6 linked regions of the Macaca mulatta genome follow. The protein of the gene in region 5 binds, or shares a complex with, the protein of the main gene of each other region. Links are inferred from orthologs where the notes say so. Each region holds a gene or a part of one and is shown on either strand. Other genes may lie near its edges. The genes, in order: TGFBR1, ITGB8, ITGB6, LRRC32, TGFB3 and TGFBR2.

Region 1 (5,119 bases), on a different chromosome or scaffold from region 5:
AAAAATAGTCTGTTTTTCCTTCCTATTGAATCCACTCAATTCCATGGAAAATGTTAAGGAACTGGAGGTGTGATTAACACTGATTAATCTAGGCTCCGTACGTCAAAGGCACAGACGAACATGAACATACATGCTGATTAGAATCATACAGAGCTGGAAGGGGATGGGCAAAAAAATGGCATTAGCTAAATATTTACTATGTTCCAGACACTGTACCAGACACATTACGTCATTTAAGGGGCCCAAGACAAGTGATTCAATCCCTTTTATTTATAAACGGGGTAAGTACTATTATTATTTACGTTTTAGAGATGAGGAAGCTAATGGCCAGAGAAAAACAGTCACTTTCTGAGATCATTTATTCATTCATACAATAAAAATCTCATTAGCTTTTATCTTACGCAAGACATTGCAAATAGGGCAGCAAAAAGGCAGTCTAGGGACCTCAGGTGGCACAAAGCCCACCAAATCTCCATTGAAGAAACTGGAACTGAGAGGGCAAATTGGGACTGGAGCCTGCCAGAAGCCGTCTCTCTGGAATCCCTCAGCCTGAGCAAGAGGGATGTTTGTTGCTGAGGCTGCTGGAGCTGCGGTCTAGAGCAAGTTGCAGGCCTCTGAGTCTGTTGGAGGTTGAGAAAGGTTAGCTGACTTGCTTAAGTAAGTGTCCTAGACAGGAGGGAGAAAGTGCGCGGGTCTCAGATCCTAGCTCCAAAATCCACGCCCTTTCCCTTTTCATCTCCCGGAAGGAAGCCTTCACAGGTGCGGAAAATGCTCACCCAGTGATTCTAAAGTAGTGCACAAATTGGCATTAGAGGCTGGTTCTGATTCCTGCTATCAAGGTTTATTTAATTCCAAGCTCAAATAACACAGAAAATAAAACTTCCTCCTTAAAAGGTTCTGCGGAAAAATATTCTCTGTTCTACGTAACAGCCTACTTGGCTGTGTTTGTGTCTGAAGAAAGGACTAGTCTGACAGGAAGAATTACAAATCTGGAGCTCATTTTGGCGTCGCAGAGGGAAGGTGGGTGGAGCGTCTCGCAGTAAATTAGGAATTCAGAATGAAAACGTAGAGTTTATTTGGGTTTTTAGTGACACCTCAGGATTATTATACAGGAGTGTCAGACACAGCTCAAAGTAATGATGACTGCTCCCCCTCCGCCCCACGGGGGCTGGGTGCTAAGAAGGGGGAACCTCTCCTTTGAGGGTTTGGGGTGGGGACCCTCCCTTTCCAACCTGGATCGGGAATGGGGATGAGAGGAGAGCGGTTTGGATCCCCATCCTGGGTCTGTGCTGGAGGGAGGCGGGAGGCTATTTGGAGGTGTGTTTCGGCTCAGGATCTGGGTCTGAGGCTGGGATCTGAGGACTTTCTAGGTTTGGAATTGGGTGGGGGAGCTAGGTTTGGGGTGACCGCTGGGCGCAGGAGGAAATAGGAGAGTGAGTCGCATGTGAAGGGCACTGAAGAGGGATCTTCGGGGGAAAGCTGAAGTTGATGCGTGGACTTGGAGAGGGGAAGTTGAAGTGGATGCTGGGGCCTGGCGCTGCAGCGGATCGGAGTGGCATGTGCTGGGATTGCCGGTGCGGGGCTGTGAATGGGGTCAGGGTGGGGCTGAGGCAGTACCAGATCTTCCGCGCCTAGAGGAGGTTAGAAGAAAAGAGCCTCGAGCGGCCACAGCCTTTTTCCGAAAGAGACTCACACAGACACACCCATCGCTCTACCCGGCCCTCCGGGACTAGCGGCTCAGCGGTGCTCTGGCTGGCAGATCCCGCCCCCACGCGGCCTCTGGGAGCTGGAAGCCGGGAGCCAACAGCGGATCCGGCCGGGGCCGCGGTCTGGCGGCCCGGCCCCCGGGGAGCATGGGGCGTGGCCAGAAACCGGCACCCGCGGCTGTGGATTGGCTGCCCGGCGGTCCCGCAGGCGGGGCTCCCGGCTGGGTCCCGCTCGGCCGCTCGCGGCGGCGGGGAGGCGGGGCCGGCGGGAGCCCGGCAGCCAATGGACGCGCGTCCCCCGAGCAGTTACAAAGGGCCGGAGCGAGGCCGCCGCGGCGGCGGGGGAGGTGGGGCGAGGCGAGGCTTGCTGGGGTGAGGCGGCGGCCGGGCCGGGCCGGGCCACAAGCGGTGGCGGCGGGACCATGGAGGCGGCGGCCGCTGCTCCGCGTCCCCGGCTGCTCCTCCTCGTGCTGGCGGCGACGGCGGCGGCGGCGGCGGCGCTGCTCCCGGGGGCGACGGGTGAGCGGCGGCACGGCGGGCGGGCGACTGCGGGGCGCGCGGGCCGGGCCCGGCCTCTGGCTCGCTCCTGCTCTTTCTCAAACATGGCGCGGGGCCGGGGGCGCAGGTGGCTGCGCCGGGGCCCGGCCGGGCTCTCGTGGCCTCGCGGGGCTCGGCGGCCGCCGTGCGAACCGCAAGCGGGGAGCGGAGGCGGGGCAGGGGCGTGTGTCCGGGCGCGGGCGGACGTGTCCTGCTGCCCGAGGCCGCCCCGCTCGGGACTCCCCGGGGAGGTGGAGTCGGGCGGAGTCGTCCGAGGTCCGGGGCTGCCCTCTGGGGTGTGAGTGGGCGAGGGTCAGGGGCGGAGAGTGTGAGGCCGGCGGGGACTGGCAGAGCGGTGGCTGCCCGCCGCCGCCCCCTCGGCACGGCGTGACCTTGTTCCGGGGACCCCCGCCCCAAGAGGGTCCGTGCCCAAGGCTGCCGGGCCCGGGGCGGGGTTTGAGGTTGGGGTGGAAGGCGGCTGCTGGGCGGGGTGTGAGCTCCGAGCCGCTAGGGCTTCGGCCAGTGGGAGTCGGGGGCGAAGTGTGGTGAGACCCCCCGGGTCCACAGGCCGCCGTAACTCCCGCCCGGCTCGACCCGACCCGACCCGACCCTGCTGGAAGGGGCTGCTCTTCCAGCCAGGGGGGCTTTGTGTGAGAAGAAGGAAGCGCGGAGATGCGCGGAATGTTTCTTCTTTCGTGCGTCTGGGGAGTGTTGAAGTGAGTCCAGTAACCAGAAGGCTACGGATTGTTTTCGTAGTGGAAACTTGAACGTTTGCTCGTTCTGCGGGGTTTGGAAATTTTGGGAATGACTGTGAATTGATTAAACGCTTTTTATTTCCTCGAAAGACCATCACTCGCGATATTCCTGTTCTTGAGTGACAGTTAATAGTTTGAATCAGACATCTGTGTAGCTGGTTTTCAAGGAAGAATGTTCGCTGAATTTTTCAAAATATTAAATCAGGTTGGGGTAGGTGGTTGGCATCCTCGAAGGGATGAGTGAAAAACTTTGTTAGCAGCTGAACTGAGGCACTAGAAGCTAAAATACAGAGAGCCTCAGTGTTAGCGACTAAAATGCAGTGAAAGTACATTTCTGTTTCTGAAACTGGACACAAGATGTTGAATTTTTTTTTAAAAAAATCAAGACTGACGATTATAATTAGTCGTAATAGCTACCGTCTATGTATTATGCATTACTGCGATGTAAATGCATAAAGTACACAATTGTATAAGTACGTTATTTAATCACCACAACTAAACTTTCAGGAGTAGTGGCATTTGCCCCACTTTACAGATGTGAAAAGTGGGGTGCAGACACATTAAGTACCCAATAACTAAGTGCTAAAGCTAGGATTTTCACTCAGATCTCAGTTTTCAAAACCTGTATATCTTATATATTAATATATATACATCATACTATCTGGCGTAGCCCATTTTTCTTCTTCAGTCGTCTGCTGAGCAATTGGTCTTTATTATTCACTTTAGATTCTGTCCTCATGATTTGAATATCAGATAGGCTTCATTCCGACTCTTAGCACATTCCTGAGTCCCTTCACGTGGGCCTCCTGCATTAGAGGAAACAATGGATTTTTGATATTGGCCTAGGGAGGAAGGCAAGATAACTGTGTGGACATTTGGGAGAATCAGTATAGTTAGGCATGAAACACAGGTAACATTTCCACACCACTATTAACTTGAATAGCACAGTGCATTCTTTTCCACCAGAAGTAGCATAAGAAGTGTTCATGTATTCAAGTAACAGTAGTGGACTTAGTTGAATATACAGAACATTGCTCAGTCCATGTCCTGGAGAAGTTTACAGTCTCCTTGGCGTGCACACAATACAAAGCTGTCCAGGTGCTTATTACTGTAAGCCCAGACTGCCTCAGCTTGTCTGCCTTCCTTGTTGGTTATGATGATGCCTCAGTCCACCCTTAAAAGACATTCTGAAAAAGGTCAAATGCTTTTTTTTCCCCCTCAGTAATTTGGCTTCTCTTTTAAAGACTTGCACTTTTTTATGTTCTGAGTATGTTTTATTGTTGTCTGCCCAACTTCTCTCTCCAACATAGATTTCTCTAGGGAAATGGATTCCTTGTCCCTAGTACACAGTTTAGTACCACTATGTCTATATTTATATCCCATCTGAGAATGCTGTTTGCTTCCTTTCTGCCATTTCATAACTTTTTTTGTTTGAAAACATGCCCCCAATCCAACTCTTCTTTCTATGAATGCCTCTTGAATGTCTCCTCCTTTCTTGGTATGCAGCCTTCAGCTTAATCCTGCCTGTTATCCTCCAAATCTAGTTGCTTTCCCATGTTTCTCTCATCTAGGCTTTTCTATGGGCTACTGCCAAACTAATCTTCCTCAGCCATCCCCATGAAGGTTTATAAGATTTCCCATTTGTATTCAGCACTTAGAACCACACTTGAGCAGCTTATGATTGGGGCCATCTCTGAGTATCTTACCAGGGATCTCATTTCCCATGACTGCAGACCTTCAAACAATTTCTCTTTCTCACTGACTCCTGACTGTTCAGCCTTTTCACTACACGTTTAGTTTTGCCCCTGTTATGGGAGTGTGAGAAGTTCTCAGCCCTGACTTCCTGTGCTGGTTTAGTTCTTGAATTCTTTGTCTTCCAGAACTCTGCAACACTTAACAGTTTGTGTTGTCCATTTCTACTGCCTGTGCTGCTACTTAACAATACTTGACTGTGTTATAGGTACCCAGAGGACAAGATTCATGCCATTTCTTTATTTTATGGCCTCAGAACTTAGCACTGTGTTTTATATTCTATTCCACATAAATGCTTGTTGATTTCTATTTGAGCATTCCTTTAGTATTTATACTGTTTTATGTAAGTCCGGTTTATGCAATATTAAC
Region 2 (4,429 bases), on a different chromosome or scaffold from region 5:
ATGCCGCTTACTGGTTTGCACTGTGTTTTTCTAGCTACTAAGGCAATGGAGGTTCATATAATGATACGATACCCTGTTACATTTATACGGAGCTAGCCTATTTGTTATTATCCCTATTCAGCCTATAGAATTGTGGGAAATGAACTGTAGGATTTGGGACTAATAAATTGGTATGGTTTTCAAATTGCCTTATAATTATACTACAATAATAATTATACTATAATGATTATAATTATACTAGAATATTCCAAAATTCATGTGCACATTTGTGATGATTGTGCTAGGTGCTAGAATGTGACTAATTTATTGATAGCTTATCCTGAAAAGTTTAAAATGAAGACTACATGATGTTTTTCTTCTGTCGAACTAGGAGCTGAAGCTAATTTTATGCTGAAAATTCATCCTCTGAAGAAATATCCTGTGGATCTTTATTATCTGGTTGATGTCTCAGCATCAATGCACAATAATATAGAAAAATTAAATTCTGTTGGCAACGATTTATCTAGAAAAATGGCATTTTTCTCTCGTGACTTTCGCCTTGGATTTGGTTCATATGTTGATAAAACAGTTTCACCATACATTAGCATCCACCCTGAAAGGATTCATAATCAATGCAGGTATCTAGGGTTTGATGAGCATATGCTAAATTAATTTTTTGCTTATAAAATCTCACTTTGTTTTTAATGTAAAGAACTTACCAAGTTTTATATTTTTGTCTTATAAAATAAGAATAAAAATATTTGGTGAGGTGGGAAAGTTTGTTCATATCTGAAAACTTCTGAGATGACCTGTAGATTGGGCTTTTTATTTTCTATTTCTTTAAATATTTAGTTAGTTTTTATCACCAAAAATAAACAAACAAACAAAAAACAATGCCTAATGTTAGTAGCTTTGAATGAAGCTTCAATAGTTAGGCCGCCATGTATATAAATACCTCTTTGGAAATGCTGTATTTTTATGCTTTGATTGCTCCAAAATTGCTGAATTATGATTTGACACATTTCAAAGAGTTTGTGCCAGCACGTCATCTATCTCTCCAATACTGTACTGTGACTGGGGATAATGATGTTGCCTATGATGTGACTACAAAGAAAGCTCAGCTATCACAAAAAAGTGGGTCAAAAGATGAGAATTTGACTGCTTAGAAAGCCTTTTTTCTTATCATTTTAGAATTCTTATTCTAAATAACAGATGTCCCACTATGAAAGAAGAATTAACTTTAAAAATGTAAGTGTCTCACACAATATTGCCATTAGCCCGTTGAATTTTCAGAAAAATAAATCCGTTTGGATCTTTTTTCATAAAAGACTTTATCTTTCTTGCTTCTACCAATTCCTTAGATTACCTTAAAATACACATTCCAATTTACCGAAACAGCTCTGTCATCTGTTGTACCAGAACAGGATTGATGCATCCACTAATGGAGTTTCATAAGCCTTCTTGAGGTGAATGTACCAGAGGAATCATTCTTACTTTCTGGATATCATGGATTCTCAAAATAATTTTAATGAATTTTGATTGTTCATCAATAATTCCACCAAGCATGATTTTAAAAATTAGTGCAGTATTAAAAAACAAGCAGTATTATCACATTTCAACTAAATTCCTCAAAAGCATTTTCCAAAAGTGTTTCTCAGCTGTTCAATGATAAGAAATCACTGCACATTCTTTTATTCACCTTAAAAATTCAGTGCAGATTAAATATTGAAAGCCCTTAGCTGTCCTATATTAACAAACATGTTTAATCATCTTTATTTTTTTGAATACCAGCTACTTATAGTCTTATTTCCTACTTGCAAAGAAATGATCATCAATATTGAACTTCTCTCTAATTTTATAAGCACAGATTTTTGTCTTATAAAATTCCCCTGGCACAAAAGAAGTACTCCCTTTTCACTCAACTGTACAATTTTACTGTTAAGTATTCTAGAATGCTTAAGAAAGAAGAGCAAAATAAACTTTACACTTCCTCTTTTCCCATATAGTGACTACAATTTAGACTGCATGCCTCCCCATGGATACATCCATGTGCTGTCTTTGACAGAGAACATCACTGAGTTTGAGAAAGCAGTTCACAGACAGAAGATCTCTGGAAACATAGATACACCGGAAGGAGGTTTTGACGCCATGCTTCAGGCAGCTGTCTGTGAAGTAAGACGTTTCACATTATTGAGTGTTTGCTAAGATGCAAAACTTTCAAAGAATTTAGAATTTTTGTTTTCTCTTTGATTTGAGGAGTGAAAACGTAGTGTAGAAGAAAACATATCTTACTATCTCTTACTCCTCACCAAGGTGATTCATTTTGGTATGTGTTTTGTACAGAGGGACTAAATTGGGGGAGGGATTTAAATAGGAAAAGATAAAAGGGAAAGAAAAGGTTATGCACGTGAAAATTCTTTCCAAAAGGGCTGCTTTTCTCATGCGCCACACTCCAAGGAGGAACTAGAAGTAGACTGTTGCCCTCCTCGCTTCAGCTTGTTCTCCTCCTTTTTTTTTTTTTTTTTTTTGAGACGGAGTCTCGCTCTGTCTCCCAGGCTGGAGTGCAGTGGCGCGATCTTGGATCTCGGTTCACTGCAAGCTCCGCCTCCCGGGTTCACACCATTCTCCTGCCTCAGCCTCCTGAGAAGCACCTGCCACCATGCCCAGCTAATTTTTTTTTTTTTTTTTTTTTTTTGTATTTTTAGTAGAGACGGGGTTTCTACTAAATAATTTTATTTAGCCAGGGTGGTCTCGATTTCCTGACCTCGTGATCCGCCCGCCTCGGCCTCCCAAAGTGCTGGGATTACAGGCGTGAGCCACCGCGCCCGGCCTCTCCTACTTTTTAATCTATCTTATTCTTCCTCCACTGGAACACTAGACATCTCTAGCCAGGAACTAGTGTGGTCACATGGCTGTGGGAAAATAGAGGATGTACAAATGAAAGTTAAAGCTATTTATGCAGCAGCGTTGTACCCATGCACATCGTTCTAGCCTGACTTAATGTTCATCGACTCAAACATGATGTTTACTTGAGGTAAAAACCACAGTACAGATCTATGTTATTGTACAAAATCTAATTACATGTTTATTTTTAAGAGTCATATTGGATGGCGAAAAGAGGCTAAAAGATTGCTGCTGGTGATGACAGATCAGACATCTCATCTTGCTCTTGATAGCAAATTGGCAGGCATAGTGGTGCCCAATGACGGAAACTGCCATCTGAAAAACAACGTCTACGTCAAATCGACAACCATGGTAATGTAGCAGTAGCCCCTTAGTAGATATGACTCTTTTGGTTAAAGTACAATTTTAAATTGGCAACTCCACTATTTTTGTACCAGGAAATTACCTAAAAAAGAAACAAGGATAAGCCATGAGAGAGAATTTATGGAACAGTGCAATCTATAAATACTGATCAATAAAATGTATGAATCAAACACTTTGACAGTTTCTAGTAGCTGACTCTTTGATGAATGACAAAGCACAGTATAATTTTTGAAAATAAAAATGATACAAGATTTTACTTTTTATGTAATTCTAGGACAGGGGAAAAAAGTATACCTTTGCTTTTTACAAACAGACCAGTTGTACAGGGTCAATATCTACAAACATTTTAAGGAGGAAACCTCACAGTACAGTAGGTAGAAACTAAATAGAAACCAAGGAAAAAAGACAAGAGAGAAAGAGAGTAAAACAAAGTAGGCTTTCTCTATTTTGTACCTTACTTCTCTCTGCATCTTATCTATTTAAGGTCTCTTTAAATCAGTGACTATCTGGCTTGCTTCCTGAGGGTTAGTATAAGCTCGGAATCATATATTTAATATAATCACCTAGAACCATATCTTCCCTGGCATTATCTAATTCTAGTTGTGAAGAATCAACAGCCCAAAGCATCATTTACTTCTGATGTTGACACTTATTTATATATTCTTGCATATGTTAAAACAGAACCTCTCCAACTTTCTCAGTTCAGGAGACCTTAGTCTCTCAGTGATTTTATTCCATGACACTCATGGGTCAAAAGAAATACCTAATAGTTCTGTTTTTCAAGTGGTTAAGTCCAAATAACTCAACTATTTTTGTCTTAACAACTTAGTAGCTCCTTAAAAATAATACAAATGTATCAAATGTAGAGAGACATGTTTCAGTTTTAGTAAGCAACTTACGAAGAGAAATTTTCAAATCCTGAAATAAGATTGGTCATCACTACCCTGATTTCTTCTTCCATGTTGATTTTCAAGTTGACCAGCTCGGCAAAGATTAATGTCATTTAAAAGAATAAGACCGAATGTAAACTTAAAACTATGAACTCCCTCCAACTAGTTCTTCATTGGTACCTGATACATGCTGAATGTCACTGTATTTCTCTTGAAGATTTAAATTATTTCCTGCCACCCTTGGGAGTGTGCTGCAGTGCACCAAGACACCCCACACGCAGTTTGGGAATCAC
Region 3 (4,870 bases), on a different chromosome or scaffold from region 5:
ATAAATAAAATTTCATTAATTTATAGAAATAAACCAAAGCATCCAAAATAGGCAGCTCCATGCATATTTGGTCTTCTAACCCACAAGAAGTAATATTTATTGCCTTCATATGAAAGCCAACTTTAGTGATATTCCTTTGTGGTAATATTATGATATACCATTTTGTATTCCTAGCATGTCCTACAACCCTCGTTATGGTGCACTTATGAGCAGAGCACCACAGTCAGTACACCAAGAAAATAAAAGGTAGTTTGTATTGAGACAACCCACTTAGAGAAATGAATTTTACAGAGGGGAGAAATAATGTCTCTATGGCAGAAATTAAGTCAGTTCTTGAATTTCAAATGGAAGTGTCTCCTCACAGCTGAGTTATTTAAAGAGCAAAAGACCAAACATGCACCTCAATTACAGGAAATTAAAAGCCCCGTGAAAGCTCACAAAATCATCAAAAGTTATAAATGAAAGGTAGCTTATAAATCTTCTATTACCCACCACACAACACATACACACATTTTTATAGATGAGGATACAGCCCAGAAAGGTTAGATATTTTTCCAAGATCACACAGTGAGTAAATGGTAGAGCCAGGATTCAAACCCAGGACTCTTGGCTCTCTCTGTTTTTCTTGCCTCAATGCTCCACAAATACCAAAGGGCTTGCAAGCTGCAAACCTGAACCAGTACTGTTTATCAGACATTTGGGAAGAATTGTAACATGATGGAAAGAGCTTTCAAGTCAGACTGGAGTTTAAATCCCGACTTGGTCACTTACTTGTATGGCCTTGGATAAGTCAACCTCCGGGTCATTTATAAAGCAAACATCGTGACTCCTATCCGCAGTGTGGTGGTGAGAATCAAATAAAATAATGTACACTAAGTGCCAAGCAGGGGGCCTGGCACACCATGGGAACTTGAGGAGTATCTATTATTACTATCACATTACTTCCTTGGAGGCATACCCAAAGTCCTGAACTTTCAGTCTTAGCCTGGAAAAGAGAGTATGGGTCCAAATTCTTCATCCTTCTCGACAAAGCCTGTGTGGATGTTTCTGTTCACGGCTGTGCTGCGCCAAAATAAATCTAATTCAATCTGGACCATTAAATGCTTGGCACCATGTTTTACGCTAATCTCATCAGTTGTTATTTTCAGTTTCTAGTTTACCCAAACAATCCATTTTTAGAGTTAGTGACCAAAGCTGCCAATAAAATAGACTTATCTCGAAAACACCAGGATCCTCCTGAAGGAATGTCAATACACACATGTAGCATACGGCAATGCTTTATAAGAGTTTGACCACTGGCCTGCAGTTGGCCAGCTCAACTGTAAACTCAGTACTATTTTGGGGTATTAATATCTATAAGTGCTTAATATCCCAGCCACACTGCCATCCACTAGGTTTGAATGTCCTTTATGGAGTGAACTTGATCCTCCCGTTTCACTTTTGGTCTCTCTCCAGAGAAGCTAATGTACTGGCATAGTTCTGCCATTTGTCAGCCAGAAGTCTGGTTACACATTTGCTCGTCAATCTAAACCTAACCTATTCTCATATGAGCACTTGGGGTTTCATGTAAATCAACCAGACGTTCTGTCATTCACCAGCAATATCTCTCCATAGTATTCTACACCCATGTGCCTTCATGAAATATTTCATTATGCCGGTGGAAGAAATATTCAAATGAATGTGCTTTTTCAGGGATGGTGACACCAGAATGTTTTAAATCTGTTCATTACCACAACAAGGATAAATGGCGTTTCTGCCAAAGACTTTTGATAACGGGTGCAGTAATGCATGCCAGCACTTTCTGAAATTAAAGGTTCTACCCTGAGAGGTAAGTAGGATAATGCATGGCTAACAAATGCAAACCCAAATTTCAGAACTGAGTGTTTCTTGTCAGTGTCACCGATCGCTTCCAACAGACGCTGCCTTAGGGAGTTTGTAATGTCATTTCTGCTCTCCTGACATGAACGTCCAGGTGAGCCTACCCCAACGTTTGTAAAAGAGCGGATCCTTATTAACTTAGCATGCTTTACTGTGATTTTTCTTACATTTGGACTCACACATGTTTTTAACAGCTGCATTTTAAAAATCTGCTATGGTTTAAGAACAGTATTTCATAAAAGCCTTAGTTCATTATTCAGTAAAATATTTTAATAACCAGTTGAACAGTCTCTCGTTAAGATTTTAAGATATTTGTTTCTGATTGTACTAATTAATTGTTAAAGTTTTTTTAAAAAAAAATCAGTGATGAGACTCGTCTTCACTAACTTTTTGGCATCTTCAAGAGGCACAAAGGAAATGAGGAACTGGAAATTTAAAACAGGAAAATAAATATCAGTTCATATTTGCATTGACATATGCATGACATCGGACCAGTTAACTTCAGTACCTCTGGATTGTAAAATGGTGTTTTAGTGTAGAACTAATACATGAGAATTATGGAGAAAATGGAGAGAAAAGGGCTTCCAATTCAGGTTATCTATGAAGAGCATATTTTATTCTTACAAGTGTCTGAAAATACCTGGTATCATTACTATTCACCATGAGAACTTTCGGAAGTATGACCACTAGCACTGTAAAGAACAAAATCCAATATCTGTGGATTTTGTACATTATTCATCCAAATAATGTACCCTCTAAAATTAAAAAAAATCACAGGTAGAGCTATATTGTATTGGCTCGTAAAATACCTAAAATGGACAGAATCTGATCAGAGAGTAATAGTTTTCTTCTCCTATTTTTTTAGATTCTGAACAGGCTCAGAAAGAAAGTTTTTTAATACAGGGTTTTGAATATAAAGTCATTTGGTCATAATACAAGTATTGGTGTCTGCCTAAGGAAAATTTTGTGCCTCAGTGATATGCAAAAACGCCTTCCTCTTTAGAGTTCTCCTTTCTTCATTCCCCATTCATTCCCATTGTAATCTTTTTCCTCTATCTGACTTGCTCCCTCTAGTGTTCCCTGGATGAAGTACAATAGCTAAAGCTCAATTTACAAACACACAAAATCCTATTACTGCAATCTCTCAATGTTTTCCCCAGTTACCATACACTAAAGCAAACTTAGCACCAGATGTTTTGGCCTTGTGAGTTGTAGGTGACAGCAAGAATTTTTAATCAGAGAATGGAATATTGTATTCCACTTAGTGGAATATTGTATTCCAACTTCAGATCCTCAAAGGGGGCATTTATTTCTAATCTGATTGTTAGGGTTAGGTTCCTTCTCTGCCTTTGAATTCTTGTATTGGAATTTACTTTTATTGTGATATGCAGAAGGGGAAAAGATACTCTAATGAACTAAAGCATGCAAGCAGTCATTTCTTTGACATATTTCCCAGGAGTAGAACTTACACTGATCTTCTAAATTACCTAAGAGATTCAAGGCATTTTGACTCAAGAAAAAAGCGATCAATTCTTTAATGGTTTTACAAAAACCATAGGCATATTCTCAGCCACAGAATCTCTTAGTCAAACCAGGAGGAACAACCACTTGGGAGGTGTATTTCTTATGGGCACTTTTTCTTTACAGAGAATAAACACTCCCAAAGCTGTCAGCTGCCATTGCTGCTACTTTGGAAATCAGCCACACCCAAGATGTAGTTATAAGAGCTAACTACAGGCCAAGGTCATCTGGGGATCCATCCAGCCTACTCACAGGCATGGCACCCCAACCTGGTCACAGTGCATGGGCCTGTCAATCCAGGCAGGCCAGCCCAGATTGCTATTTTAGGTTGGAGTTCCCGAAAGAAGGCCCTTGACTGTCCTTCACGCTACTGGCATTCAGCTTTGTACTTAGCCATTCTGAACCATTATCTACTCTATGCCCTAACTGTTTCTCTCCTTTGCAATATCCCACCTCTTTGGGGAGCCCCATAGGAGGTTGATAGATATGTCAAATTGTAATATTAAAATGATTATTTTGTTTAATAACACAAAGTTCACCCATACATACAGCTCTGCTACATCAGGTTACGTCTACCAAGTGCCTGAGCAGGAAACCTCAGGCTTGTTTATCCTCCTCCTTCACTTGGATCTGCCGTTCATCCTTTCCTCTTTCATGTCCACTGGCATTATAGTTCATCCACATTTGCCTAGACTGCTACACTAACTTTCCAAGCACTCTCCCTCCCTCCAATTCACCAACATACTACCGTTGGTTATCTTTCAAAACAACAAATCAGAATGCATTTCTCTTCTGTTTAAAATTTTTCACTGGTTCCCTATCATATATAAGATAAATTTTGAATCCCCTACCATCTTAGTCTGTTTTGTGCTTCTATAACAGAATACCACAGACTGAGTTATTTGTAATGAACAGAAACTTGTCAGCTTACAGTTCTGGAGGCTGGGAAATGCAAGATCAGGGGCCAGCATCTTGTGAGGGCCTTCTTGCTGCATCATCCCATGATGGAAGGTAGAAGAGCAAGACAGGGTGAGAGAGAGGAAAAAGGGAGCTCAACTTATCCTTTTATAACGAACCCCTCCCATGATAATGGTGTTAATCCATTCATGAGGGTAGAGCCCTCATGGCCTGATCCCTTCTAAAAGGTCCCACCTCTTAGTACTGTTACAATGGTGATCAACTTTCCAACACAAGAACTTTGGAGAACACAAACACCTACAGCACCTAGACTGCTATTCAAGATTATTTGAGATCCAGAAACTCCTGCCCACTTTTCCAGCCTCATCTCTCATTATTCCCTCCATACTATCTTTCCCTCCTCACATCAAAATACCCTATGCTTTGGCCAAACTAAGTATTTATTGTTCCCCAAACCCATAGTGCTTTTTCATGTCTTCAGATATGCCTAGTGGAATCTTCTCCCTTTCTTCAAGAATTCAGTTGAGCATCACTTTCTGATGGCATTTTCCCT
Region 4 (4,892 bases), on a different chromosome or scaffold from region 5:
GAGGGCAGCGTCTTTGACTGTTGGAACCCACTAATGATGAGCTTTGGATGAAGATGGCTGCTGTGAATCCCATCTCGCTTGAAGGCATACAGACCACAGCCGGACCCGTGAACCCTATTCCCTGGCTCCCCTCAGGGCCACAGGCGCTGCCCCCGCAGCTGCTCTGCTCTCACCTGCATTACAGGTTGCGCTTTCACAGGAAACTTTGTTCTACTGTTTAAAAAGCAGAACGCCACCGCCCGTTAAAAAGTTAGCATATTCAGAACTGAGTGAAAACCCCTTTGCAGGGCCTTCCAGGCTGTTGGGGAGCATGCCCTGCCTGGCCAGCTCTTCCCTCCAGCCTCCTTCCCCAGTGTCCCCTCTCACACTCTGGATTCTGGACATCTCATATTTCTATCAGTTCCCTGAGCAGATTTTCCCTGCCCCAAACCTTCACTTCCTCCCCTCTCCTCTTCTACTAAAGACCTCCTCATCCTTGGGGTCCCAGCTTAGATGGGCCAAGAGGTCTTCTTTGGTTCCCCAAGTCTGGGCTATGTCCTCCAGTCCTCCCAGAGCCCCCGAGCTTCCAGTGAGCACAGCACCAAGCCCTCCGTGGGTACTGTGTCCCACCCCCCTCCCATGGGAAGTGCCCCTAGAGAGGGGCTCACCGTCCTGAGATGCATCTCACAGCACACAGCAGGTCAGCAGCGGCACAGAGAACTGACACCAGGAGTATTGGTGACATGGGGTCGTTAGTGACAGCAGTTCTCTTTGGCTCTCCCTTCACCTCCCTGCCACATTCCCTTCCCCTATTTGTGCCATCAGAGGGCTCTGACTGCTCTCCCTGAAAAAGAGACCCCAGATCTTCCTACTTCCCTCTTGTCACTGCCACAGACTGAGATGCCACCCCAATACCGGCCTTAACCACAACACACTGACCCCTTATAATCTGTCCTATACCTAGCAGCCAGAGAGATAAAATCATCTGTCAGACCCTAAACCTCTACTGTTTGAAAATCTCCAAGAAAATCCAGGCCATCCACAGTCTCCTCTCTGACTCTTGTCCATTTTCCCTTCCCTCACTAAATTCCAGCTTTCTTGCTGTTCCTTCAACACAGCAAATTCATTCCTGCCTCAGGGCCTTTGCTCCTGCGGTTTCCTCTCCCTGAATGCTCTTCCTCAGCTCCTCACACATGTCATTGTTTTCCCACATGTATCATTTCCTCATCATTTATTTCTTATCATGTGGGAACAGGGGCCTACTAAGTAGGTGCTCACTAAAGACTAGTGAACAAGTGGCAAAGTCAGGGCAGAAGCTCAGCTGCAGCAGACTGAGTGGAGAGTGCCAGGTGAGGACAAGGAAGGGTCCTAGGCCCTTATTTCCCCTTCCTCTGCCAAACCCCACTCTATCCCCAAGGTGGCCCTGTGCACATCCAGAAGGGACCGTCCCTGGAGCACATGGGCACTCTGTCCTGGCATCTGACAGGAAGGGCCCCTCAGCTGTGGGCCCTCCTCAGTGGTGCCCAAGACTACTCTCTCTCAAAAAGGAGGACGGTGTCACTTAGACCCAGGCATGCATCCAAAGCCCACCACTCACCAGCTCTGCTCCCTAGGGTAAGTTCCTTCATTTCTTGGTGCCCCAGTGTCCTGTTGCAGGGCAGGCAGCTGGGTTCCAGTTCTGCCACTGGCCAACCCCAACTATTGTGATGATCCGGCAAAGAATAGCAGCAAAGGTGCCCTGCGTCCTCACTGTCCTTCCAGCTGGCACAGTGACCCTCGCAGGGCTGAGCATCCCAGGTGAGGTGTGCTCAGTGGGGAGGCCCCAAGCCTGCAGACAAGTGGCCTGGGCAAGAGGAGGCAGAAAAGTGCTAAAGAATGTGTGTGTGTGTGTGTGTGTGTGTGTGTGCGTGTGTGTGAGAGAGAGACAGACAGAGAGAGAAGAGAGCAGGGGTAAGAGAGCAGGGGTACGGGGGGCAATGACTACTATCACAATAAGCCCACCCTACATTTAAGGATGTTAGACAGTCTTTTAAGCACTTGACCTATATCACCTCATTTAATTCTCACAATCACCTATTGAGGCAATTACTGTAATTCCCATTTTACAGTTGAGAAAACAGGTTCCGAAAAGTGAAGTGACTTACCCCCAGAGTTACCCAGCTCACAAGGGCTTTGGAGCTCGGATTTATCCAGTTCTACATGACCTGAATACTGTGTTTTCTCCAGCACAAGCTGAGCCGACTCCCCCCATAGAACTGTCTTCTTTTGCCCATGAAGAAAAGGAGGCTCAGAGAGGTGACTTACCTAAAGTCACACAAGGAGCAAATAGCAGGGTCAGGATCAGAATCCAGTTCATCTACCTCCAAAGCAAATGTTTCCACTATACCGGACCAAGGTCTCCTTCCCTAAGCCCTGCCAACGACCCCTCACATGCAGGAGCAGGGCAGACTAGCTCACAGTCTGGGCTCTGAGGTCCTCTCTCCCTCCTCTCGGCCTCAGCTGACTTACTGGCAGAGTGGGGTCCTGGGAGAGCTGCTGCGGACGTTCCTGTCAAGCAGTGAATCACTAAGGGCAAGCCTCGTTCTGGAGACATGTGCATCCCACGGGGGAATTAGACCTTAACCCAAAGGAATGTGGCTGTGATGGCGGAATTTCAGGCAGCTCGGGGTGGGGGTGGGGGTCCCTCACATCTTACCAGCCATGAAGAAGGCTGGCTTCAGAGCCCCTTGCAGAGCGGTAGGTGCCTCCCACCCCACTACGAGAAATGGGCAGGCCATCTAGTGCTGTGGGATGGGCAGCCCCACGCCTGGCCGGGATCGGAACGTTGCAGGAAACGTGAATTCAAATTCCGGTCTGCCCTTGCCTAGCTGTGTGTTCCTGGGCAAGTCCGGTCTTCAGGCCTTTGTTTTCCCAGCTGTCAAATGGGAACCTCGGTCTCACTCCTTTGCGGGAAAGCTCCGCGGAGACAGGAGCCTTGGGGGCCTCCCAGGAACCGAGGGAGGGTCAGCCCCAGCCCCACGCGCGCAGTGGGGACGGCGGGAGGGGAGGGTTTGGGGGGCGTCTCGCGGGACCAGACCCCTCCCTGCGCTCGCGAGGGGCGCGCAACAGTGCGCCCCCCGAGGGCCGGCCACCTCGCCCGCCTGGCGGCTCCTACCTGGCTCAGCGCGGCCGCAGTTCCTCTCCCGGGCAGTCTCGGCACATTTTGCGCAAACCCGCCCCCGGGTCCCACCCCGCGCCAGACCCCGGGGTCACGGCCCGAGGAGGCGCAGGCCACTCAGCTGCCCCACCGGAGCCCCCGCGCTCCGGCTGCAATTTAAATACCTCTCCCGCCGGCCCGCCACGCCACGCCCCCCTCCGGCGAGGCCGCGGGGTCCTAGCGCCTGGCCCCGTGCCTCGGTTTATCCGGAGCTGGCGGAGGCGGACTGGGGCGGAGCGGCGAAGCATCTTCATCACCCTGGGACCTCGGCCGGGAAGGGGCGGGGACCCAGAGGGGTGAGATGAGAGGGCGGGAGGGAGAGGGGTCGCAGAGGAAGCGCCGTGGGAGCTAGGCCCGTCCCGGTGGCCGCCGCACGTGCAGTTCGCGGCCCCGCGGGGTCCGGAGGGGGGCGCGGTGGCTCTAAGAGCCGCAGGTCCACAGAGGAAATCCGGCCTGGCCCCGATTTCCCAGCTGCTGGCGCCGCCGCACTTAACGCGGGGGCAAACAGGCGAGGTGACGGCGGGGCTGAATGCGGAAGGAAATGACCCTTCTCTGGCCCTGGGGCGGCCGCGGAGGGGGTTCCCCGCACCAAGCCGCCCGCTCTGGTGGGTCCTGGCAGGTCACTTTTCCTCTCCGAACTGTGCTTTAGCGTCTAGACCCGTACTCCTCCATCATCTGCGGGGCCCTTCAACAGCCTGTGAAATAGCACCATCAAAGTCCTCAGCTTTCGGACGGAGAAACTGAGGCTAGGGCGGGGGCAGTGTGTACACATGAAAACCAATTGTCTGAGACTAGTAAGGTCCCTATTTATAGTTGGGGAAACTGAGGCTCAGAAAGGTTAAGTGGCATGTCTAAAGTCACACAGCTTGTAAGAATCAGGGATTTGAGCCCACTCTGTCCATAAAGCCAAGTCTGCTTCAGTTTGGGCATTATCTTGGCCGATTTTTTAAAGTATTGTGCAAATATAGGGTGGCGGTATTGTCGTTTAGATCGGAGGTTGAAGCAGATCTTCCCCAAAGCCACCCCTCTTCTAGATGCCTTGTCCCCACCAAATCACAGGTACCCTGCTCTGCTGCCTGTGGGCTCCAGGATGCGGGTCCCTAGAGGAGAGGGGCCCTGGCTGTCCTCCAGGTCCTGGTTCTGGGGGTGGAAGTGTTTCTCTTCCCTGATGGTCTTCCACAGTGTTTCTCTTCCCTGATGGTCACCAGCCCTAGAGTGGGGTAGGGTGCCCCATTTTACAGGCATGAAAGTGACCACCCAGGGCCTTCTGGCAAATCAGGGTAAGGCTGGGCTCAGAAGTGGGATTTCCTGAAGTCCCTACAGTTACTGTCTTTTCTTCTGCCTGTTCAGTCTACTGTGGAGATGGATCTGAGCAGATGGGGTCAACCCAGAGAGGACAAGCTGTGACAGCAGGTGCCCCAGGGGCCTGACCTAGCCTTAGAGGAGGAAATCAGGGAAAGCTTCCCTAAGGAGGAGGCCTGAGCTGCACTGAGGGGATGGGCAGGAGGTGCAGGTAAGGAATCTCTCAGCAGGGCCTGGGAAAGGTATCCAAACCTCTTTCTCTTCCCTCTCAGCCACCCAAGGCCTCAGATCTATGTCCATAGGGTCCTAGCTGGTCCATCCAGCCCCCTCCCTGGTCTCTAATGCTCCATTTGGTCAAATGGAACCTCAGGGCCCCATCTGTAAAGTGGGAAAGATAGTAGCTACTACTTGGAGT
Region 5 (4,429 bases):
CTTTGATTTCCTGCAGCAACCAACCCCTGAACTTCTCTGAAAATCACTGGTTTCCTGTCACTCCCCTCACCTGTGCTCCTGCATTTTGACATCTTCCAGGGCACTCTGTCCTATTATTTCTCTCTAGTCCTGTTATTTGGGCCCATGTATTAATACCCCCCACTTGGATATTAATCCATAAGCCTGAGGCTGCAATTTTTTGAATTTTGAAATCAGACCTTGGCGATGACCTTGAGCAGTAGGATATAAATAACTCCCACATGCTTAGCATTCCAATAATGGAACACTAGGCATAAATGGATTTTAATCCCCTTGAAGGCAGGGGTTGTGTCTGTTCACGTTTTGCTTCCCAGTGTTAGCACTATGCTTGGCATATAGTAGCTGCTCAATACATTTTTTATAAATGAATGGATGCCCAGATGAACAAACACAGGAATAGATCAACTAGTTGTAAGATATGTAAACTACTAGGTTGCTGATATCTTTCTAGAATCAGTATTTTCTTAGGCCGGGCACGGTGGCTTACGCCTGTAATCCCAGCTCTCAGGGAGGTAGAGGCAGAAGGATAGCTTGAGCCCAGGAGTTCGAGACCTGCCTGGGCAGTATAGCAAGACCCTGTTCTCCACAAAAAGGAAGAAAAAACAAAACAAAACAAACAAAAGTGTAGAATCAGTATTTTCTCAAAAAGTAGGAAAAACAGGTTGGAGAACTTACCAGAACTGAGATTTTAAGGCAGTGGGAGGAGGGGGCAATTAGATTTGACTGGCCAGTCTCTAGTGCCATGTCGTGGAGCTCTGAGGCCACACTGCTCCTTGCTCAGGACTGTGTGTGATTCTAGGGCCACCAAGAATCTTCCTCGTATCTCCACCTTGAGGTCTGAGACCTCAAGCCTCTAGGGAGGTGGCAGGCAGGACGGTGGCCACTTGGTGCCTGTCCGTTGGCAGCACACTGTTCCTGCATGTCTCACTCATGCTGTGCCCTCTGCTCTGCTTTATCTCCTAGACGAACTGGCTGTCTGCCCCAAAGGAATTACCTCCAAGGTTTTCCGCTTCAATGTGTCCTCAGTGGAGAAAAATAGAACCAACCTGTTCCGAGCAGAATTCCGGGTCTTGCGAGTGCCCAACCCCAGCTCTAAGCGGAATGAGCAGAGGATCGAGCTCTTCCAGGTAACTCCTCTCTCGGAGCAGAAACCACACCTACGAGAAAGCCAGTTCCTTTGCCATATCAGGGCACCACTGGGTGCAGAGTTTGGCAGACCTGGGTTTGAATCCTGGCTTCTCTGAGCCTTTGTTTCTGTATCAGTGTCTGTCATTAAAACCTTAAGAGTTAGCTAAGGCGCTCGGGGGCCATGGCATTCAGGAACCACTGGTTTCTTATTGCTCCCTCACCTGTGCTCTGCACTGTGACATCTTCTGGGGCACTCTGTCATGGCCTCTAGTACTCACTCCTTTCTCTGCCCTATAGATCCTTCGGCCGGATGAGCACATTGCCAAACAGCGCTATATCGGTGGCAAGAATCTGCCCACACGGGGCACTGCCGAGTGGCTGTCCTTTGATGTCACTGACACAGTGCGTGAGTGGCTGTTGAGAAGAGGTAGGTGGACCCTTCGGATGAACATTTCAGAATGAACCTCAGGTCCCTTAGTCCTCCATGAAACAGAGGGAAGAGGACAGAATTAAGGGACTCAGAGATCTGGGTTCAAACCCTAGCTTTGCCACTGAGTATTCTCCATTCATTCACTCAACTAATGTTTATTAAGTGCTCCCTGTAAGCCAGGCCCTGGGGATGCAGCCACAGGGATAGGAACTATGAGAAATGGAAAGAGGGCAATGTGATAATGATTGGGTGGGGTCCACCAGGGAAGGTCTCTGTGATGAAGAAATTCATGCATTGACATCTGAATGATAAGGCGTCAGCCCATGAAGATCAGAATAAGGGATGTGCTAAGCAAAGGCAACAGTGAGGCCCAGGCCCTCAAGTGGAAATAAGCTTGATTTGTTCGAGCAGCAGCAGCAAACAGATTGGTGTGGCTGGAGCATGCTGAGCTGGGGTAGGGAGGAGGAGGGGAGGTGGTCAGAGAGGTTGCTGGGGCCATATAATTTATTATTATTATTATTATTATTATTATTATTATTTCTTGAGACTGAGTCTCACTCTGTTGCCTAAGCTGGAGTGCAGTGGTGCAGTCTCGGCTCACTGCACCTCCGCCATCTGGGTTCAAGCGATTCTCATGTCTCAGCCTCCTGAATAGCTGGGACTACAGGCACACGCTGCCACACCTAGCTAATTTTTTTTGTATTTTTAGTAAAGATGGGGTTTCACCATGTTGGCCAGGCTGGTCTCAAACTCCTGACCTCAAGTGATCCACCCGCTTTGGCTTCCCAAAGTGCTGGGATTATAGACGTGAGCCACCATGCCCAGCCAATTTAATTTAGAACATCATCAGGTCATGGTGAGGTTTCAGGACTTATTCTGTGGGTGATGAGAAGTGTGGGAGTGCTATAACCAGAGATGGGGATACTCAAGGTACCCAGGTATTCCTTCCTGTCCCTCTACTGGGCGTGAAGTCAAGAGCCTAGGAGAGCCATGTGGATCTGCTGACAGCAGCTCTGCTGGGAATTCTGACTCACACAGCTACCAGGAGGAGGGACTGGGTGTGGTGATTCGATTGACATCTTTAAAAGATCCCTCTAGTTTCCAGGAGGTCAAAGGAAGAGGCAGGAAAACCAGTTAGGAGCCATGGTGGCAGCCCAGATGAGAGCAATATAGGCTGAGACTAGGGTGGTAGCAGTGGATATGAAGATTGTATGGATTTATTCTGTATTTTGAAGGTAGCCAGTAAGTAGCGCAGGCTGATTAGGTGTAGGGTGTGAGGACACAAGAGCATTCTGGATGACTCCTAAATTTTTCGACATCCAGGTGGTATCACTTATTGAAATGGGGGGCCTAGGAGAAGAACGTGTTCTGTTCCGGCCAGTTAAGTTTGAAAGGCCGGGTGGTCATGCAAGCAGAGCTATCCCAGAGGCGTAACACACTTCACATGTCCCAAATATCTTATCCACGCACTGTCTTTCTTCACCTGGAAAATAAGGCAATGGTTCCTCCTCTGCATGCCTTATAGAGTTGTTTTAAGGATCAAATGCATTTGAGAGAACTTCATGGTTTTTACCATGTTTTACAGGAGTAAGCTTTTCTTATTTTAGATAAGGAAACAGGCCGAGAGAAGTTAAGTGACTTGACCGAGGTCGTCCAGTCTGGATGAGAACTTTGGTGTCTCATGACACCATCCTCTATGTTTCTTTCCCTTTCCTTGACTGGTACTGCCTGGTCTGATGCTCAGTGGGTTGGGGTCACAGATGGCAGTCCCATCTGTTCCTTCTCTCCCTCTTGGGCAGGGTTTTCTCCTGTCATCAGCTGCTATAAAGCCACAGACCATCCATATATTGATGCCCAGACTCCCTGAGGCAGGTGGATCCTTCTAGGTCCTTGGTATTTTAGCCAACTAAGAGTTAAAACTCAAAGGCAGAGATTACAAACTATTTGGCCTGCATATTGTTTTCAATTTGACTAGTCATCAACAGTTTTGGGTGTTTTAAGTCAGGAGATTTCACATAAAACCTGGACTTCTTGCTGTTTTTGAAAAGTTGGAAGATTTCCTGGTAACCATCCATCACAGACGAGTACCAGCCACCCCTTAGATGGGGTATGCATCCTCAGTACCCACAGCCCTCACTATTCCCTATTGTTCCCCAAGAGTGAGGCTGGCAGTTCCTGTTTAGCATCACATGCTGGCTCGGTTTTCTCACGTGACCTGCCTGGACTCCATAGGCATCGAGTTTGCATTGCTTGGTACCCATGGAGCCCAGGCAGGTCACATAAATGAGAAAATTCCCCATCCAAGGGGAATTATCCGATGGCTGAGTTGGCAGATGGTGGGCTGGAGATCCTGCCCCAGTCCCAAGGGTACCCAGGAATTCCATCCTGTCCCTCCTACTGAGCATGAAGGCAAGAGCCTAGGACAACCCACGTGGATCTGCCGACAGCAGCTCTGTTGGGAATTCTGACTCAGACGGCTACAGAAAGGAGGGGCTGGGGAAATTAATCTCTTAACTTCCCTGTCTGATTTTGATCAGCTCCACCTGGATTTCTTTGAAGCCCTGGGCACTTGAAGGAGTTCTTATTTTCACAGCTGCAGAGCTCAATGAGAAGTTTGCATTGAGAATGATTTCCATCCTCCTGAGACATCAAAAAGATAATTTCGTAATAAAACCTATGGGTCCCCCACCCACCATCCCCACGGCTGCCAATTCTGAGGTTAGTTCTTCATTGGAACCTTCAGTTCCCACTTAGGCAGATACTGCCTACCTTTCCTACAGGGGAATCATCACACAGGTTTGTGCTTATAGAGAGCCCATGAGTCTCGTCGGA
Region 6 (5,176 bases), on a different chromosome or scaffold from region 5:
TTGGAGAAGGCTTTCAGCAAGCAAGGAGAAGCCACGTGGACGTTTACAGCAGAGGTGGGGGCTTGAACCAGATCCACGTTCAAGGATCTGGTTTTTATCTTCTCTTTATCTCAAGAGCAGTGGGAAGCCATTAAATGATTTTAGTCAGAGAGTTGGTATAACTAGTTTTGTATTTTGAAAAACTGAATTCAGCTCTCATTTGAGAAACTGAGTGAAACAGCCCGGAATGGCCGTGGCTGAGGGTGACCGGTGGGAGACTCCTACTCAAGCCACGGCAGTGGCATGGGCTGGTGGCAGGAGAGGGAACAGGGAGAAGAAGATTTGGAACTCAATCTTCCTCCATTGATAAAGTCACTCCAGCTTTGGCAAGGCAATTAATTGATGGGAAAGAAGATGCCTAGCCCTCCTGATTTCACTGCATTTTCTCCATCTTAAACATGAGCGCTGGGAAGTGGCAGAACATCTAGAGGCAGCTCGGGTGCTAGGTGGAGCAAGAGGTAAAATTCCAGGATGAAGCAAATGAACTCTTAGAATGACAGGAGGGATTTTGGGAGCTGGGTTTGGGGGAGTGCTATTTACCTTTATTCCCTGGAGGCCCTGGCCCAAACCCTTGCCTCTGCAATCTTTCTCTCAGGTAAAGGAATTCATTAAACGAATTGCTGGAAGATCTACTGACCAGAGGGCTGTACAGAATCCTATCTTTGAGAGAGAGAAGTAGGTTGATCACATAGTTTATTATCCAATCAGGACATATCTGAAAGAGAAAAGGGGTTCTATTAATATTTAAACTACAAAACATGTACACCAGGAGTGTCTTGGGCAAATCTGGTTGCCCTAGCAAGAAAGGAAATTTGAAAGTTTATACTGTTCTGCTCCCATGTTACCCCTTTTTCACATGAAAGGCTAAGCATTCTCTTCACCTGCATTAAGGGAATAAAAGCGCAAGCATTCAGGTGACTCCCAAGCCACTTTTAATTTTACAGTTTCTGCTATACTCTATACATTCTGAAAATTACATTTTCCACCATTATCACTTCGTGATAGGTGATCATTTACAATTACTCACTGACTCAGTCCCCGGAAGAGGCGGTGCGAAATGGGAGGCTCTATCCAGGTGCTCATAAAAATGCAGAATCTCCGCCTGCCTCCTAGACCTACTGAATTAGAATCTGCATTTTTTAACAAGATTCCCAGGTGATCAATAAGTACATTAAAACTTGAGAAAAACTTCTAGACTTCGACCTAAAGAAAAAACATTTTACCACTTGACAGTGTATGCACACACATACATGCATAAAGACACAACCGAAGCACAAGTTTAATGAAGTAAAATTTACCGTTACTATTTTATTTGGGACAGAAATGTGCTCACGACTCAATAGATTTGAGTATTCACTCCTGGATCTCAACGTGTAATTTGAAAACGCATCTCTAAAGCACCTAGGAGCAATCTGAAGAAAGCTGAGGGGAGGCGGCAGATGTTCTGATCTACCAGAGAAAACGTGGACGTTTTCTGTTGTTACTTTGTGAACTGCGTGCACTTAGTCACTCTTGAGTAAATACGTGAAGCGAGGAACTCCTGAGTGGTGTGGGAGGGCGGTGAGGGGCAGCTGAAAGTCGGCCAAAGCGCTCGGAGGGGCTGGTCTAGGAAACATGATTGGCAGCTACGAGAGAGCTAGGGGCTGGACGTCGAGGAGAGGGAGAAGGCTCTCGGGCGGAGAGAGGTCCTGCCCAGCTGTTGGCGAGGAGTTTCCTGTTTCCCCCGCAGCGCTGAGTTGAAGTTGAGTGAGTCACTCGCGCGCACGGAGCGACGACACCCCCGCGCGTGCACCCGCTCGGGACAGGAGCCGGCCTCCTGTGCAGCTTCCCTCGGCCGCCGGGGGCCTCCCCGCGCCTCGCCGGCCTCCAGGCCCCCTTCTGGCTGGCGAGCGGGCGCCACATCTGGCCCGCACATCTGCGCGACCGGCCCGGCGCGGGGTCCGGAGAGGGCGCGGCGCGGAGGCGCAGCCAGGGGTCCGGGAAGGCGCCGTCCGCTGCGCTCGGGGCTCGGTCTATGACGAGCAGCGGGGTCTGCCATGGGTCGGGGGCTGCTCAGGGGCCTGTGGCCGCTGCACATCGTCCTGTGGACGCGTATCGCCAGCACGATCCCACCGCACGTTCAGAAGTCGGGTGAGTGGTCCCCAGCCTGGGCTCGGCGGGGCGCCGGGGGTCTTCCTGGGGTCCCCGCCTCTCCGCTGCGCTTGACAGTCGGGCCCGGCAACCCGGCGCCCGGGCGGAAACGAGGAAAGTTTCCTCCGCGGCACTCTAGCAGCCCGACTCCCGTAGCTGCAGGGATGTGTGAGTTTTTCTTGAAAAAAAGATGGAAAGTTCACTTGCAAGGGGCGCGGGGCACGTTTGGTCCCCTTTGTGCGAGCAGGAAAGGCGTTGTGTTGGCCGCGTTCGAGGCGAGCCCCCACCCCCGGAAAGGGAAGTTTGAGAAGTTGGTTATCTGAAGGCGGCCGGGGAGCAGCGGCCCGGGGCGGCAGCCTGAGCTGCCAAAGCAGCCAGCACACCTGGGCCACTCAGCCCGTGGCAATGCCGCGTGCCCACCCAGCTCTTTCTGAGCCACCCGTTCAAAAGGCCAGCTCCTCAGTCCTTAGCTCCTGGACACGGCCACGCTTTCCCTCAGGCCGGCTTCTTGGCCCGGAGGTTTTGGATACAAGTTTCAAGAAAATAAGCGATTTCCAAAAGAAAGTTAGCTGGCTCCACTGACGCCTTGGCATGGATGGGAAGGGAGTGGAGATGCTCAGGTGAAACCGAGAATTCCTCACTGAATGCCCACTGGGTGCTAGGGGCTGTAGATTTTGCCTGGAACAAGACAGTCCTGTCTTCAGGGAGTTGATAGTTCTATGCAATTATCGTTTGTTGGAAACCGAAGGGTTAAAATTCTACCTAGGCTACCCACCTGATCGCTGTGTCTGAAGGTTTTTAAGGAAAAAAAATATATGTTTATATGTATGTGTGTGTCTGTGTGTGTGTGTGTGTGTATATATATATATATATATATGCATGCAGGAATGGGGGTTCTTAATGATTTGTTATGGAAAGTGTAAACACCTGAGACTTCAAAAGTTAGATTTTTTTTTTTTTTTTTTTTTTTTTTTTTTTTTTTTTTTTTGAGACGGAGTCTCATTCTGTCACCAGGCTGGAGTGCAGTGGCGCAATCTCGGCTCACTGCAACCTTTGCCTCATGGGTTCAAGTGATTCTCCTGCCTCAGCCTCCCGAGCAGTTGGGATTACAAGCACCCGCCACCACGCCCAGCTAATTTTTGTGTTTTTAGTAGATACAGGGTTTCACCATATCGGTCAGGATGGTCTCGATCTCTTGACCTCGTAATCCGCCCACCTTGGCCTCCCAAAGTGCTGGGATTATAGGCATGAGCCACCGCGCCCGGCCAAAAGTTAGACTTTTTGCAGCTGTGATCCAAATAACAGTATCTGCAGCTGTGGTCTGGGTAACCGAGTATTTGGGCAAGTCACAGAGCTTTTTCTGGGCCTTAGTTTCCTCATCTGTAAAATGGCAAGGTTGAATCTGGGTAATTTTACATCATCTTCGTGTTTAACATCTTACGTGCCGTGGCCCTCCCCTCCTTTCCCCTAGCTCTTCTGGTAACTTGGAGATGACCCATGTAGGCTCTGGATGAAATGTAGAGGAGTTGGCAGTCCACATCACCCTGACGCACTCTTTTTATTTATCCAGGGACATGGGCAGATTTACCTTTTGGTTTGTCTAGAAAAAACGCGCATCATGGTCAGTTGTAAATTTCAGAGTATTTGAAGTGGATTGGGAACTTTTTAAAAATTATGGCATACATTGAAGGTGGCATGGAGATGGAAGCTTTTAATCTAATTAGGAAGATGCACTATTGCAAGCAAAAAGTCTTAACACACTTTTGAGTCCTATGGTTTTAATAAAATCTTAGTGTTTCGTTCTTGGCGTTTTTCCTGCATTGCAGTACCAGAATGTTCAGTTGTCTCTCATTTTCCTCCAGACTCTTAAACCTAAGTTGTATTTTGCTAATAAATATTTAAAATGGCACCCTTAATTTTCTGTGGATGTTAAAAATCATTAAAACTTTTGTTCCAGATTATAGAAGAAGGAAATTAGCAGGCCCTGATGTTGTTAGGTTCTGTTTACAAGGATAAGATTTATGATTTGCAAATTCCAGACCCAATAGTTCATGAGTCACTTTCATTTCATCAATATACACACTTTTAAACAATTAGCATAAAAGCGTGGTGGCTTTTTGAGTATTTAGACAGTTTAACAAGGCCCACAGATTTCCTATTTTTATAGAATTGAAGTTTCAAAATGGTTGAATTAATGAATATTTTGAATTTGTATTCATTTGATTCAAATTAAATTTTCAAAGTTGGCCAAAGGTTGAAGATAGATATATTGAAGATGAGAAACCTAATTCTACTTACATTTTAATTTTTCATGTAAGTAAATGGTTTCAGAATTTTTCTAACATAACTGGTAAACTGAAAACATTTTTTCAAAATATCTTGATGCAAGATAATATATGAGGGAATGAGATTGTTTAATAAACAACAAGCTCCTTTTACGTCACATAGAAAAGCCCCAAAATCTGTCTTCTGTTTAGTAGCTTCTGTATTTCTGTTTAGTAGTATGTAAAGGATTTAAATATAAGAACAAATTTCACTAAGAAATAGAAAGTTTTTTTTCCCTTGTTTTTGACTTAGTACATTCACTCTTCCTAAATGATCAAAATTAAGAAATGACTCTTTGGGGGAAAACTGTAAAGTGTACAATAGCTCTTCAGGTCTGAAAAATATGACTTTTCAGATTCCTAAAAGTAGATTCTTATTGAGGACAAAGAATTTGTAACAGTGTCGTAGGGATACAGGTTCTTCAGATCTCTTTAATAACCTGCTTATTTTGTCAGGGTAAGAGACTAGACATCATTAGGCCCCAAATCTTATCTTTGGTCTACTTGTGCTTTTTTTTTGCCCTCATAAAAATACGTTTTTACCTTTAGGCCACTCCCTTTAACAACATCTTATTTTTAATGAGTTATGTTTTATACAAAATACTAATCACATTTTGAGCTCGTGCCTTCTTTGCAATGTAGCAATCCCTAATGATGACTCTCGTCTGTGTAGTCAATGTAAC

What was found.
Region 1: the proteins of TGFB3 (region 5) and TGFBR1 are in contact, whole or in part, in a crystal structure (PDB 9B9F), measured with the Homo sapiens proteins. The link is inferred for Macaca mulatta from reciprocal best matches to the Homo sapiens genes TGFB3 and TGFBR1. Residues at the interface, in NP_001316868.1 of Homo sapiens: Ala301, Leu302, Asp303, Asn305, Tyr306, Tyr350, Leu351, Ser353, Thr357, Thr360, Leu364, Leu368; in NP_004603.1 of Homo sapiens: His39, Leu40, Thr42, Lys43, Phe55, Met70, Ile78, Phe84, Val85, Lys91.
Region 2: the proteins of TGFB3 (region 5) and ITGB8 are in contact, whole or in part, in a cryo-EM structure (PDB 8VS6), measured with the Homo sapiens proteins. The link is inferred for Macaca mulatta from reciprocal best matches to the Homo sapiens genes TGFB3 and ITGB8. Residues at the interface, in NP_001316868.1 of Homo sapiens: Gly262, Asp263, Leu264, Arg266, Leu267, Lys268; in NP_002205.1 of Homo sapiens: Ser156, Ala157, Ser158, Asn161, Arg206, Gln210, Cys211, Tyr214, Leu216, Ser247, Gly248, Asn249, Ile250, Asp251, Thr252, Glu254.
Region 3: the proteins of TGFB3 (region 5) and ITGB6 are in contact, whole or in part, in a crystal structure (PDB 4UM9), measured with the Homo sapiens proteins. The link is inferred for Macaca mulatta from reciprocal best matches to the Homo sapiens genes TGFB3 and ITGB6. Residues at the interface, in NP_001316868.1 of Homo sapiens: His259, Gly262, Asp263, Leu264, Arg266, Leu267, Lys268; in NP_000879.2 of Homo sapiens: Ser142, Ala143, Ser144, Asp147, Pro196, Cys197, Ser199, Ile200, Tyr202, Cys204, Ala234, Asn235, Ile236, Asp237, Thr238, Glu240, Asp271, Lys355.
Region 4: the proteins of TGFB3 (region 5) and LRRC32 are in contact, whole or in part, in a cryo-EM structure (PDB 8VSB), measured with the Homo sapiens proteins. The link is inferred for Macaca mulatta from reciprocal best matches to the Homo sapiens genes TGFB3 and LRRC32. Residues at the interface, in NP_001316868.1 of Homo sapiens: Leu24, Ser25, Thr26, Cys27, Thr28, Leu30, Pro347, Pro349, Tyr350, Leu351, Arg352, Thr357, His358, Val361, Leu364, Leu368, Ser375; in NP_001122394.1 of Homo sapiens: Ala110, Ser135, Tyr137, Ser160, Val184, Met186, Asp187, Ile188, Asp190, Phe193, Leu202, Leu204, Arg206, Asn207, Ser208, Thr210, Cys211, Ile212, Ser213, Asp214, Phe215, Ser216, Leu217, Cys227, Asn228, Ser229, Lys254.
Region 6: the proteins of TGFB3 (region 5) and TGFBR2 are in contact, whole or in part, in a crystal structure (PDB 9B9F), measured with the Homo sapiens proteins. The link is inferred for Macaca mulatta from reciprocal best matches to the Homo sapiens genes TGFB3 and TGFBR2. Residues at the interface, in NP_001316868.1 of Homo sapiens: Arg325, Lys331, Trp332, His334, Tyr390, Tyr391, Val392, Gly393, Arg394; in NP_003233.4 of Homo sapiens: Leu50, Phe53, Asp55, Ser72, Ile73, Thr74, Ser75, Ile76, Glu78, Val100, Asp141, Glu142.

The regions. Positions count from the first base shown.
Region 1 is NC_133420.1:59,300,119-59,305,237, reverse strand, and holds the start of TGFBR1 (TGF-beta receptor type-1), read left to right. Parts: upstream 1-2,019; 5' UTR 2,020-2,128; coding exon 2,129-2,225; intron 2,226-5,119. UniProt on the Homo sapiens protein: Transmembrane serine/threonine kinase forming with the TGF-beta type II serine/threonine kinase receptor, TGFBR2, the non-promiscuous receptor for the TGF-beta cytokines TGFB1, TGFB2 and TGFB3.
Region 2 is NC_133408.1:107,913,270-107,917,698, reverse strand, and holds part of ITGB8 (integrin beta-8 precursor), read left to right. Parts: intron 1-370; coding exon 371-617; intron 618-1,985; coding exon 1,986-2,151; intron 2,152-3,075; coding exon 3,076-3,234; intron 3,235-4,429. UniProt on the Homo sapiens protein: Integrin alpha-V:beta-8 (ITGAV:ITGB8) is a receptor for fibronectin. It recognizes the sequence R-G-D in its ligands.
Region 3 is NC_133417.1:65,075,772-65,080,641, reverse strand, and holds the start of ITGB6 (integrin beta-6), read left to right. Parts: upstream 1-1,548; 5' UTR 1,549-1,828; intron 1,829-4,870. UniProt on the Homo sapiens protein: Integrin alpha-V:beta-6 (ITGAV:ITGB6) is a receptor for fibronectin and cytotactin. It recognizes the sequence R-G-D in its ligands. Internalization of integrin alpha-V/beta-6 via clathrin-mediated endocytosis promotes carcinoma cell invasion.
Region 4 is NC_133419.1:77,073,395-77,078,286, forward strand, and holds the start of LRRC32 (transforming growth factor beta activator LRRC32), read right to left. Parts: upstream 3,268-4,892; 5' UTR 3,134-3,267; exon of another isoform or gene 2,124-3,133; intron 1,823-2,123; exon of another isoform or gene 1,577-1,822; intron 1-1,576.
Region 5 is NC_133412.1:149,175,111-149,179,539, reverse strand, and holds part of TGFB3 (transforming growth factor beta-3 proprotein precursor), read left to right. Parts: intron 1-1,002; coding exon 1,003-1,166; intron 1,167-1,464; coding exon 1,465-1,594; intron 1,595-4,429. UniProt on the Homo sapiens protein: Transforming growth factor beta-3 proprotein: Precursor of the Latency-associated peptide (LAP) and Transforming growth factor beta-3 (TGF-beta-3) chains, which constitute the regulatory and active subunit of TGF-beta-3, respectively.
Region 6 is NC_133407.1:17,939,260-17,944,435, reverse strand, and holds the start of TGFBR2 (TGF-beta receptor type-2 precursor), read left to right. Parts: upstream 1-1,928; 5' UTR 1,929-2,075; coding exon 2,076-2,169; intron 2,170-2,770; exon of another isoform or gene 2,771-2,789; intron 2,790-5,176. UniProt on the Homo sapiens protein: Transmembrane serine/threonine kinase forming with the TGF-beta type I serine/threonine kinase receptor, TGFBR1, the non-promiscuous receptor for the TGF-beta cytokines TGFB1, TGFB2 and TGFB3.